Linked DNA regions of Kluyveromyces lactis. The protein of the gene in region 1 interacts with the protein of each later gene in a pairwise test. Links are inferred from orthologs where the notes say so. Each region holds a gene or a part of one and is shown in the gene's direction. Other genes may lie near its edges.

Region 1 (4,049 bases):
CTACGATTTCCCGCTTATCTTTTAAATAGGTACCGAAGGTTTACAGTTGGTCCATGAGCGATGAGCTGCCTGGCTGTTTGCTTGAATGCATGTATGTATACTGTTCAAACCAAATGCTGTCTACTGGCCTTAATTATTCCGATGAGCGAAAAAAAGAAAAAAGTTGATGCGATTTTTAACAAAGCTAGACCGGAAAGGGCGATTCACAAGCGACACAGTAGCAACTAGCAAGTGACATAGTCCGGTGAAACTGTAAATCAATTGTAGAACACATAGGCTACAGACCAGACAAAAAAACTTCCGTCAGCTACATGGAAAATGATACTGTGCAGACTCTTTTGATGTGGCTTAGCAAGATAGCTTGCGATACCGTGGGTACGTATACCACATTCGGCTGGCTTCTTCCGCCTCTCTCACTTCCTTTGCGGGGGGTAATCTCGTTATATCCAGAATCAGATATCAAACACTAAGCCTAGCCTCAATTCCAATTGAGTAAGGGTCCATTCTCTTTTTTTTTCCCCTTCATTACCACTGTGGAATCATTAAAGTAAGCGAGATGGCCAGCCACCCTGTGGGAAATTGACACTCTAGAACCATTTATCCAATATCCATATGCAGGGCACTATCACACCAATTTTTCATCATCCATATATTCCCAGGCTGGAAAAATCAGCTGCCAATTACTACATCTGATTAAGTAGGTACCGTAGTTGCATATTCTGTATGATTACGAAATGTATATAGACTACTAAGCCCCGAAAGTTTGTAACAGGAAAAAAAACAAAAAAACAGAAAACCGAAAGATCAAGACTAATAGAATGCATCTTTTCAAGGCTGCGACCCTTCCTCAACTTTATCCTTATCCTAATTCATCGTAATCATAAGCTTTCCGGACATTTTTATGCTTTTATCGTTTTATGTTTGCTGAATGGGTTTGTCATATATATAGATTAACTTGAATCATTAATTCCACGCATTAAAGGCTTTCATTGGCACTGGAAAACTAACAAAAGAAGAAATCGTTATTAAGAAAGGAAAAAGAACAAGAATTGGCTTACAGAATACATTCCTTGGCGTGCTAATTGTTGATTTGATTATAATATTCAGAAGAAAGTTCTCACTTTTTTGTGTTAAAGTTTTTAGAAAGGGCAATTCATATTAACCCTGTGGTGCTCTCTCCTACCCTGCTAACTGACAGGTTATTTCTTTAGCGACTTGAGTATGAGCTCTTTGAATGAAGGCGTTGATGAAGCACACAGCCCTTCTCTTACCGGTAGGGAAAGTTTTGTTGGGTTACAGAGTAAGAAAGATGAGAATAAAACTGTAGAGACTGAAGAGCAAACTAGACCTCTCAACAAAGGGGTTACATCCACCTCAATAGGTGCCGTTAAACCTTTAAAACATCACGACACTCAAATTACCATGATGTCTGTGAATAGAATGACCAAGGCGTCGAGTTTCAAGTTGGCTCCATCTCAGCTTTCGGAATTACACGATCCCAAATCACTAACTGCCTTCAATAACGTATTCGATAATGACGAATCTAATTTGTATACTTATTTGCAAACGGATCGTACCAATGGTCTTACTATACAAGACGAGGATATCGAGTCCCTAGAGAGAACTCAGGTGTATGGATTGAATAGAATTCCTGAACGGAAAGGGAAATCTTTCCTACGACTTGTGTGGGAAGCATTCAACGACAAGACTATGATTTTGCTTACTGTTGCTGCAGTGATTTCTTTCGCTTTGGGTCTTTATGAGACTTTGGGTCAACCTCCAGAATACGATCCTGAGGGTAATGAAATCGTTAAAGTTGAATGGGTCGAAGGTGTGGCTATTATGATTGCTGTTGTTGTTGTGGTATTAGTGGGTGCAATTAACGATTATCAAAAAGAGTTACAGTTTGCAAAACTAAACAAAAAGAAAGATGATAGAGATGTGGTTGTGATAAGAAACGGTGATGAACATCTTATTTCTATCCATGACTTATTGGTGGGAGATGTAATATCGCTTCAAACAGGTGATGTGGTGCCTGCGGACGCTGTATTAATCTCAGGATCCTGCGAATGCGATGAATCCGCACTAACTGGTGAATCGGACACCATAAAGAAGGTAGCATTGAAACCTGCGTTGGAAAAGTACAAGCAGATTTTTGAGAAGGATCCCACTATCGATATTGGTAGTCACGGTGTAGGTGAAAAGGTTCCAGATCCACTATTGATTTCCGGATCCAAACTGCTATCCGGTATTGGTAATGCTGTTATCACATCCGTTGGTGAAAACTCTGTTAATGGTAGGATTATGATGGCTTTGAAGACGGAATCAGAATCCACTCCTTTACAGGAAAGATTATCCAATTTAGCTGATAATATATCCATTTATGGTTGTATGGCAGCACTTGTCCTTTTCATCATTCTCTTCATTAGATTCCTCACTTACTTACCTAACGGGAAAAAATACCATGATCTACCGCCTGCTCAGAAAGGTTCCAAGTTTATGAACATTTTCATCACTGCTGTTACGGTTATCGTGGTTGCTGTTCCAGAGGGTTTACCACTTGCTGTTACCTTGGCATTAGCCTTTGCTACAACAAGAATGACCAAGGACGGGAACTTGGTTAGAGTTCTAAGAGCATGTGAGACAATGGGGTCTGCAACTGCCATTTGCTCAGATAAAACCGGTACTTTGACAGAAAATAGGATGACAGTGGTAAAAGGGTTTGCTGGTAACTTGGGCTTCGATGATACAACTCACGCTGAGAACAAAGAAATCAAGTCTGCTGTCGTTTTACGTTCAAATTGTGATGCAAGCCTTCTAACTGATATCTTGTCAAACATCTCATTGAACTCGACAGCATTTGAGAATAAAGAAAGTCAACATAAAGATAAGGATGTGGATGAAAACCCTTATCATAAAAGCAGAAAAAGTCTGTTCCCTTGGAGTAGAAACAACAGGACTTCACAATTGATTGCCGATGCAATGAAAGAAAATGATGAACAATTTCTCGGTTCTAAAACTGAAACGGCATTGTTGGCATTTGCTCAGAAATCCTTAGGGATGAAAGACGTGCATAAACTTAGAACTAAACCTTCAGATTTAGGTATTGATAAGGTGGTGCAGGTCATTCCTTTTGAAAGTTCTAGAAAATGGGGAGCTATTGCTGTTCAGTTAGCGGATAACAAAGGGTATAGATTTTATGCCAAAGGTGCCGCCGAAATATTATTGAAGGTATGTTCTAACCAGAGAAACTCCGACAACTCAATAGTACCAATGAATCAGGATTTATATGATGAGTCCTTCAAAAAGATTCAAGATATGGCCTCTCATGCGCTCAGAACAATCTCTCTAGTTCACAGAGATTTCAAAGAATGGCCTCCCAAGGAATTTGCAGATAGCACGGACCCCTCGATAGCTTCACCAGATCTGGTTATGGGTCACGAGTTGGACCACAAGAACTTGTCCAGCGAAGGCATGACCCTTGATGCTATGGTCGGTCTACAAGATCCACTACGTGAAGGTGTTAAGGAATCCGTGGAACAATGTCAAAGAGCAGGTGTTACTGTTCGTATGGTCACTGGTGACAATATTTTAACTGCAAGAGCCATCTCAAGAAACTGTAATATTCTTTCCGAAGAGGGTTACAACGATCCAGAATGTGCAATGGAAGGACCGACATTTAGAAAGCTACCATATAAAAAAATGTTGCGTGTGATTCCAAAACTTAGAGTGCTTGCAAGATCTTCCCCTGAGGATAAACGAATTTTGGTTGAAACTTTGAAAAAAATGGGCGAAGTTGTTGCTGTTACTGGTGATGGTACAAACGATGCCCCTGCTCTAAAGTTGGCCGATGTCGGATTTTCAATGGGTATATCTGGTACAGAAGTGGCCAGAGAAGCATCTGATATTATCTTAATGACAGATGATTTCACCGCTATTGTTAATGCAATTAAGTGGGGTAGATGTGTTTCTGTGTCCATAAAGAAGTTCATCCAATTCCAGCTTACCGTTAACATTACAGCAGTTATCTTAACATTTGTTTCTGCTGT
Region 2 (2,192 bases), on another chromosome or scaffold:
CCTAACGTCAATATTCCTCGTTATGGGAGCAGCTCATATCAACCCTCAAACGATAGATATAGAAAGTATAACTCCTACTCCGGTTTCAAAAAGAGAAGGTGATTCAATATAGATACCCCAAATACATATATATGTGTAACCAAGTCTCGTCTCAGAAGAATAGCAGAGATTTTGAACAATATTGTACTAACTAGCGTAATTTATGGAAAGATGAAAAAATAGTTGCAAGCCAACTGCGTTTTCTCGGCTGCTGTTTCCGCGAGGCTTATATATTAGGCTTTCCACAGACACTAGTACTTGTCAAATAATAAACTGAGCCAAAAATAGAGAGCGATAAAAATAATGGTTCCTAGCGGGATCGAACCGCTGATCCCCGCGTTATTAGCACGGTGCCTTAACCAACTGGGCCAAGGAACCAAATTTGTTGGAAATGTCGTAATATAGACTGAGGACAAGCCAGACGAGAGGTCATGTGGGCTAGCCAGCACACGGCAGAGTTCCAAGACGTCAGTGACTGGGCATATGGATCCTGTGGTATCCAGAGGGATGGCATAGATGGATCATAGACTGTCACGTGATGGTCTTGAGTGCGCGTGGAGGACGGTAGCTGCACAGGACCTACAAGGGCATGGAGGCAACGAGTTGCCATGACGAAGTCTGACGACCATCCGAGTATATAAGTCGAGTATAAAAGGCTGAGCTATGTTGCGACCTCTTGGGGAGGTTGGATGCAACAAGAGAAAGAAGAGCAAGGACGCATAAACTCAACGATCTAACTAAATAGATTATTATATTATATTCGTTATATTGTTTGATATCAACGATCCCTCATCAGGCGATTAATCAATCAACTATCATCCAAAGCATATCACTACAGAAAAACAAAAATTCTAAGATGTACGTGTATACTTAATTTACCATGTGACTTCATTTTCCTTCCATGTTGATTTAGATAACGAGATATAGCTTGTCAAAGGGGTGTCAAGATATACATTCGCTACTGGCTTTCAAAAGCCTGTACTTGTTTCGGTATAAGCATTCACAAATGGTCTATGTGGCTTCAATCATTTTTGTCATATGTATGGCGTTTCCCATAGTTTTCTTTAGTTGATAATTGTCAAAATTTGAACAATGAATCATACCTATTAATCATCTCAATTCACAACATTGGGATACAGAAGAAGAGCCTCGTAGGTTTCCCTTATACTCCCAGCAGTGTATTATCAAAAGCTTTTGAAACATGTGTCTGTGCTGTATCTGCTGTACTGTATCAGATTTGATACTTTATATTGTTGCCATAATATTCCCACCGATTGCCGTGGGATTGAGATCGGGTTTATGTTCCAGTGACTTACTATTAAACGTGTTGCTAACTATGTTTGGGTTCCTCCCTGGAATGATTCATGCTTTTTATTATATTACCGTCACGTCACCGCTAAGGACGGATACCGAAACACGTTATTATTATGAGCAAGGGTGGAATGACGGACAAAGATATGGAAGCCCATCTGCGGTAACGACCGTTTCTCATCAACCCACTGGTGTAGAAGATCCTCTATTGCCAAGAACTCAGATTCCTCTAAGATATGAACCAAATAACTACGCTCAGGATGTGCCAAAGGGTTCTCCCCCACCATACACAGAAAGTGTATGATTAGGGGCGGTTAATTATCAGCACCTCATTTTTTTTTTACTTCTGCTATTTCATGATTGTTGTACATCTTCTACAAGGATTACCATTATATTAATTAGGGTTTATATTAGCTGCTATTCACGTAAACGTATAGATTATTTTGACTTACATTGTTGAAAGACTTCTAAGTTTTGGATCTTTTATTCATTTTAAAAACCTCAGGAATTACCATTCCAGCGTCTCTTTTATTGGATAGTGAGTAGTTTGTAATCAATATTTGGTCAACAAAGTTATCCGATTGTTGCGTTCTCAAACTATCTAATATCTTCATAGTACCTAATCGTTGGCCAACTTTGAATTCACCCCTCAGTAGTGCGATATCTCCCGTTAACGTTGTTAAGATGGAATAAAACTCAATATAATAGTCAGAACCATCTTGTTTGAACTGATTTAAAACTAACCCAATATCATTCACTATTCCTACACGGAAGTTTATTACTTTAACAGCCCCGACATCGTTATGTAGTAGATTCCTTGTACTTCTTAGCTGAAATCTATC
Region 3 (3,365 bases), on another chromosome or scaffold:
GGAAATATGCAGAAACCGTCCATCGATCTACGAAGAGATGAGCTCATACACACACATGGACTCCTACCCCGAGACTTGCGAAAGGTTGAAAAATCGAGGAGAAATGACTTGGTTCCCAGTGTTCTTGTGCGTGAGAATAGCATTTTGGTTAGTATATTGAACATTAGGGCTTTGGTAAAATCAGACATGTTAATTCTTTTCGATTCGATGGGTATAAAATTGGATTCGGTTTCTCAACAGAATTTCATTGCGGATTTACAACTGAGATTACAAAATAGAAGCGGTTTTGAGGTACCAGATGTTGTGAATAAAGATCCTTTGCCTTACGAGTTTAGAGCAGTAGAGTCCATTTTTATTTCGGCTATATCTAACCTTAACGCAGAGCTCAAGGTTCACCTGAATGTTTCAACGGGTATTTTGCAAGACTTAGAATATAGTATTACTAGAGATAAGCTACGGTATCTTTTGATTCAAAATAAGAAACTTAGCGTCTTTCACAAAAAATCTTTCTTGATGAGAGAAATGATTGAAGAACTATTAGAGCAAGATGATGTCTTGTGTGAAATGTACTTGACTGAGAAACAATTAGGGAAGCCTAGAGAAGAGCATGATCATGCAGAAATTGAAATGCTTTTAGAAACTTATTACAATCATGTCGATGAAATTGTTCAAACTGTAGGAAATACAATGTCCAATATCAAAACTACAGAAGAAATAATCAATATCATTCTTGATTCAAATAGAAATCAATTGATGTTACTTGGATTGCGTTTCAGTATTGGTTTACTCTCGTTAGCCGGTTCTATTTTTATTGCCTCAATCTACGGTATGAACTTAGAGAACTTTATAGAGGAAGGTAACGTTGGATTCCCCGTGGTATCGACATTGGGGGTTATTCTAATGGCATATCTGTTTGCATTCTCCGTCAAACATTTACACAAGTTGGAAAAGGTTCAGTTAATGAGTCATGGAAAAAGCTCTACGCTAAAATAAAACTATTCGAATAAGTGCTCCTAACGTATTGTGTAAATACTCAAGTTAGGGTAGCATTGGATTTTCCAGCTCTTAAATGTTTTATGAATGTTGTGTATATATAATGTGACATATAAGCATCTAATGCAATTCGCATTAGAATACATACTACTCGACTGCTTCTATCTTTGTTCCAGCGAAAAACACCTGGCAGAATATGATATTAAGGTATAAGCAGTAGTGAAACGGATTGAAACTGTCCGATATTCTAGAATGTTTCACGACTGTATGTTAATATGCAGTACCAACCTATTGTTAAGTTTAACGTATCTTCATTACCCGGGAGAACGATTGTATCACGTGATCAAGGTCGTTTTTGTCCTGGCTCTTGAATGGGGTGCAAAAAATACAATTGAAGACTGGAAAGAAATACTATTATTACATTTGAGATTGAATCATTATAGAAATTTGATAACGGGCTATAAACTGGTTCTGGTTGACAACATCCACGTAAGCGACGAAACTTATAAGCTAGTATAAAGGATCTTTTATTCAAGATGTCAAAGTCAAGTTTTGAGAATTATTTCTCGTTTCAAATTTTTTTCATCTTCTTGAGAGAGTCGTTAGAGATCATCATAATCGTTTCCATCTTGTTGACAATCGTCAAACAAGCCTTATTCTCGCATGATACCACCGCTGAATCCGATACAGAGTCTTCAAAAAATGCTGCCCCGGTTACCATTCAAGAGGAAGAAGCTTCAGATTTATTATTGAGAGTTAATGACTCCGATTCTCCAAATCTAGGTCTAGAAGTTGATAACCAGCAGTTATATAAAAAACTAAAACTTCAAATCATTTCTGGAGGTTTGTTAGGCCTTTTGGCATGTATGTTTATTGGTGGTGGATTTATTGTGGCATTTTATTATGTTGGCACGGATTTGTGGTCTATGAGTGAACATTATTATGAAGGTGTTTTAAGCGTTATTGCGTCTGTCATCATTTCAGTTATGGGATTGTTCTTCTTAAGAATGGGTAAACTTAGAGAGAAGTTCAGAGTTAAATTGGCATCCATCATTTACTCAGACAAATTACTTCCGATGGAAAATGGCGAAAGCAAAGCTAAAAGTTTCAGCGAGAAATACTCATTATTCATCCTACCATTTGTTACTTCTTTGAGAGAAGGGCTAGAGGCTGTCGTCTTCATTGGTGGTATCGGTATCGATAGTCCATTAACCTCTATTCCACTATCGATGCTTTCTGCTACGGCGATCTCGGCAATTTTCGGTGTATTCTTCTTCAAATACTCAAAGTCGTTTTCATTGCAAATTTGCCTTGTGGTAACAACATGTTTCCTATATCTTATTGCCGGCGGATTATTCTCCAAGGGTGTATGGCAGTTTGAACTTCAGAAGTATGTTGATGCTTGTAACGGTCAAGATATGAGCGAAGTTGGAAACGGTCCAGGTTCTTATGATATCTCGCGTTCGGTATGGCATGTTAACTGTTGTAACGGTGAAAGGGATGGATTTTGGATGATTTTGACCGCCATTTTTGGATGGACTAACTCAGCTACCTATGGTTCAGTTAGCAGTTATATTATGTACTGGTTAATTGTTATCGCTGTTATAAAGCTAATGATGCTCGAAGAGAAACATGGATATATTCCATTTTTGCCTGTCAGTCTACAAAGAAGGAGAATGAACAAAAGATTATCTATTATTGAAAAGTCTCTTGCACTCAAATCTCAATCATCCACGAGTGGCTGGAACTCATCTTCCACTACCAAAAACTTGCCTGATATTCCGAGAGCTTCATCGGATACTCACAATAGCTCTAGCCTCCTGTTAGATTCTAATTCGCCTGCTCAAGGTTATCAGTGATGAAATAGTTAGCTATTATTCTTCAAAGTTGCATGTAAACGAATCATTTTCTTGCGTACGCAGTTGCTCCATTTGGAAAAGTTACTTAAGAGAAATACTATATACTATTTAGAAATTGCTGTTGTAATATAACACATTACGTTGGATTATAACAAGTATTGACTGTTTTTAAAGGTGACGGCATGTCAATGTGGGCTGCTGCATGATTACTTACATATTTCTTTTTGGCATATTCTGTCGTTTGTTTGAATACAATGTTCCCTTTTGTACTTAAATTCGAAAAGTCCTTCAATTCGGCCAAAAAAAAATGAGCAAAAAATAAAGATATGATCACCAAAATCTGGGGTAGCGGGACAGTATATATTACAATAAACACCGAAAGCGGTTCACTTGTTTCTAACTTCAGCTTCACTCAGTGAAAACCCGATGTACATGCCGCTGTTATACAAAATCAAAGATTTCACTTCATAACTATAATATCTGTGCACACAGCAGGTTTAATGTCTCACTCAG
Region 4 (2,704 bases), on another chromosome or scaffold:
AAGATCAAAACTGATCAAGTTATTGCAGTGGAAGTCAATCTCTAGATTCGGATTACAGACTGGAGATAACTATTTGATGCTCCATTTCCTTTTAGAGGGATACGACCTAGAGCTAATCTGGAAGCTAGCAAACCTGCTACAACTGACTTGTTTCAACTCAATTACAAGGGATAAATACGATAATCGTATAATGAACAGGGATGGTGTAGTCGGGAGATACATGAGAAAGGATTCAGCCTTTGCGGAAGAATTCGACTCAAGGTACTTGAACTATATGACATTCTGGAACTGTCTGGCTCGAGTAGATCACGATCTATTTATATGGATCATGGATATAATTGTAGCAGAGAACGCCAGAGCATCACGCTGGACAGAAGAGTGGCAACATCAGCTACGGAATACTGATTGGGACACCTTTAAAGAAAAGTATATCGTTGTGAATTATAAAGTCTTGTGCTCTCTCTCTTTAAACGTTTTGCTAAGGTACCATTTTGGCTGGAACAATCTACTTCATCTAGACGAACTACCACCGTCATTCCAATTAGTAAAACCAGTTGACAATCGCGAACCGGTGAGTGACCAATATTTGGTATTTATTAAGAAATGGAATCACTATTATGCCAAATTCTAGTATGACACTGGAAAGCCGTGCGAACGTGACACTACAGCAAAAGCTTTCACAACCATGCTATGTATAAGAAGCTATATATATACACAAACACCAAACATCGAACACAATTACGCACACGTTGTATTATATCATTGTTGAGTTCTTCTTTTTTCTTACATATAATTGGTGTCGTTCCATGCATGAAAATTTAGAATCCCTTTATGAGTCCATGAAAAGAGCGTGAAATTCATCGTAAATAAATAATTTCACAGCAAAATAATTGTCCTCCAAAATGACGTCCTATCTTACAAACATTATATAAGGATCATGTTCTACTATCATGGGAGGTATAACTAGGGCGCTCCCTCTATATTACCACTATTATTCTCATCACTACCAAGAAAGGCATATGACTCGAAAGTTTTAATTGTTATGAAGAATAGAAAGATAAAGGAAGGATCTTCAAAAAAAATTTGGAATTTACATATATGGTTTGATATGTAACAAGGAAGAGGAACAAGAAGACAAGACTTAGAATATTCGAGGATAAAGGGCTGTAACATTAAGAACAGCCTTTTTTAAGTGACAATACAGGAAAACTGATAACATGAGTGATCCGACCTGGTGCGATAAATCGCTATGGCCTCAAATTAGTGTTGCTTCAGGAGGGATTTCGTTTTTAACTTCGTTCGTCGCTCAAATCCCACAACTGATAGAAACTTATCGTGACAAGAGTGTTGAAGGGTTATCACCAGGATTTCTATTATGCTGGCTTTTCGGGGATATAACCAGTTTAATTGGAGCTGTACTTACTCATCAACTCCCATTCCAGATTCTTTTGGCAGTTTATTATTTGTCTAATGACATGTTGATATGTGGTCAATACTATTACTACGGTATTTTACACCGGAATCAGCTAGCGACTCCAGGCCATGAGTCTGCTACTTTAGAAGAACGAACACGTTTGGTACGAAGCCGTGGTTCAAACCCCAGTATTCAATTGCAACGCGGGTTCAAATGGTGGATCTTATCATTCTTCGTCAGTCAGCCTGGAACTGTTCAAGGGTTCCCGATGCCTGTCGTGTCCATTGCTCAAGCCATTACTGGATCCGAAACAGTTTTTCCGTTTAGTAAGCACCGTCCGTCGCCCGTTGTGCCTATTGAACCACCCCATACAAGCTTTATTGGTCAATTGGCATCCTGGGTCGGAGCAATGTCCTATTTCTGTGCCAGAATTCCACAATTGATCAAGAATTACAAAAGGAAGAGTACTGATGGGCTTTCACCCCTCCTCTTTATAAGTACGTTAATTGCAAATGTCACATACACACTATCCATTTTCACCAGTTGCTCTTATCTCACAGATGAGGACAAGCTAGGTTTCGTACTCAATGCATTACCATTTATCGTGGGGAGCGCAGGCACTGTAGTGTTCGATTTGATCTACTTCTACCAACACTACGTTTTGTACGCGGAAGACTACAACATTAGAAGACTTGAATCTGACGAGTTCACTCCATTGATGAATGACGGAACGGTTTCCCCCCTATCAACCAATTCCTATTAACAATTTCTGTGTTCTTCCCCACACCAATGTGCACATATACGTATATATTCACAGAATAATTATATGTAATCATTTCTCGAGCTTGAAACTTCGAAAACACCGGCACTACTGACCGGTTTCTCAATGCCCTGCTTTGAATATGGGACCGATCATGTCATTTGTCATGGAGCACACCAGTCCGTGGCACAGCGTGACTACTCCATGCCCCTGGACTGAACCACTGCCTTTTCAACAACGGAATAACACCGTGTAATAAGAGGGCGAAAAGTATCGTAAAATATCGACACCGGGACTTACGTTCAAGAGCATCGGATAAATGAGGGAACAACCGTTACTCACATAACAATTATTGTTGCTACTGTGTCTTCTTCTGTGTTGCCTTTTTTTTCTTTTACTCGTTTCTTAGCAAATCGTAGCTCGCAACATAGCAATATCAGCACTAGCATCCGGAATCAAGGTTCCATTATGTGGGAAAGAGCGAAGGCAAATTAATACAGTGTGGCTTGATTGGGAAGTCACTGCACGCA

What was found.
Region 2: the proteins of PMC1 (region 1) and SNA4 interact in a protein complementation assay, tested with the Saccharomyces cerevisiae proteins (2 studies listed by BioGRID). The link is inferred for Kluyveromyces lactis from reciprocal best matches to the Saccharomyces cerevisiae genes PMC1 and SNA4.
Region 3: the proteins of PMC1 (region 1) and FTH1 interact in binary tests that used the Saccharomyces cerevisiae proteins (3 or more experiments, as listed by UniProt). The link is inferred for Kluyveromyces lactis from reciprocal best matches to the Saccharomyces cerevisiae genes PMC1 and FTH1.
Region 4: the proteins of PMC1 (region 1) and YPQ2 interact in a protein complementation assay, tested with the Saccharomyces cerevisiae proteins (2 studies listed by BioGRID). The link is inferred for Kluyveromyces lactis from reciprocal best matches to the Saccharomyces cerevisiae genes PMC1 and YPQ2.

What each region holds. Positions count from the first base shown.
Region 1 is NC_006037.1:780,541-784,589, reverse strand, and holds the start of PMC1 (calcium-transporting ATPase PMC1), read left to right. Parts: upstream 1-1,221; coding exon 1,222-4,049. UniProt on the Saccharomyces cerevisiae protein: This magnesium-dependent enzyme catalyzes the hydrolysis of ATP coupled with the transport of calcium. Transports the calcium to the vacuole and participates in the control of the cytosolic free calcium.
Region 2 is NC_006042.1:563,915-566,106, reverse strand, and holds SNA4 (Sna4p), read left to right. Parts: upstream 1-1,240; coding exon 1,241-1,654; downstream 1,655-2,192. Other genes in the region: KLLA0_F05896g (zinc finger CCHC domain-containing protein), read left to right, coding at 1-102; GID12 (Gid12p), read right to left, coding at 1,818-2,192.
Region 3 is NC_006042.1:2,588,474-2,591,838, forward strand, and holds FTH1 (Fth1p), read left to right. Parts: upstream 1-1,529; coding exon 1,530-2,852; downstream 2,853-3,365. Other genes in the region: MFM1 (Mfm1p), read left to right, coding at 1-993. UniProt on the Saccharomyces cerevisiae protein: High affinity iron transporter probably involved in transport of intravacuolar stores of iron.
Region 4 is NC_006041.1:1,930,531-1,933,234, reverse strand, and holds YPQ2 (Ypq2p), read left to right. Parts: upstream 1-1,217; coding exon 1,218-2,177; downstream 2,178-2,704. Other genes in the region: KLLA0_E21671g (uncharacterized protein), read left to right, coding at 1-631. UniProt on the Saccharomyces cerevisiae protein: Amino acid transporter that moves arginine across the vacuolar membrane. Active during nitrogen starvation when it exports stored vacuolar arginine to the cytosol, for use as a nitrogen source.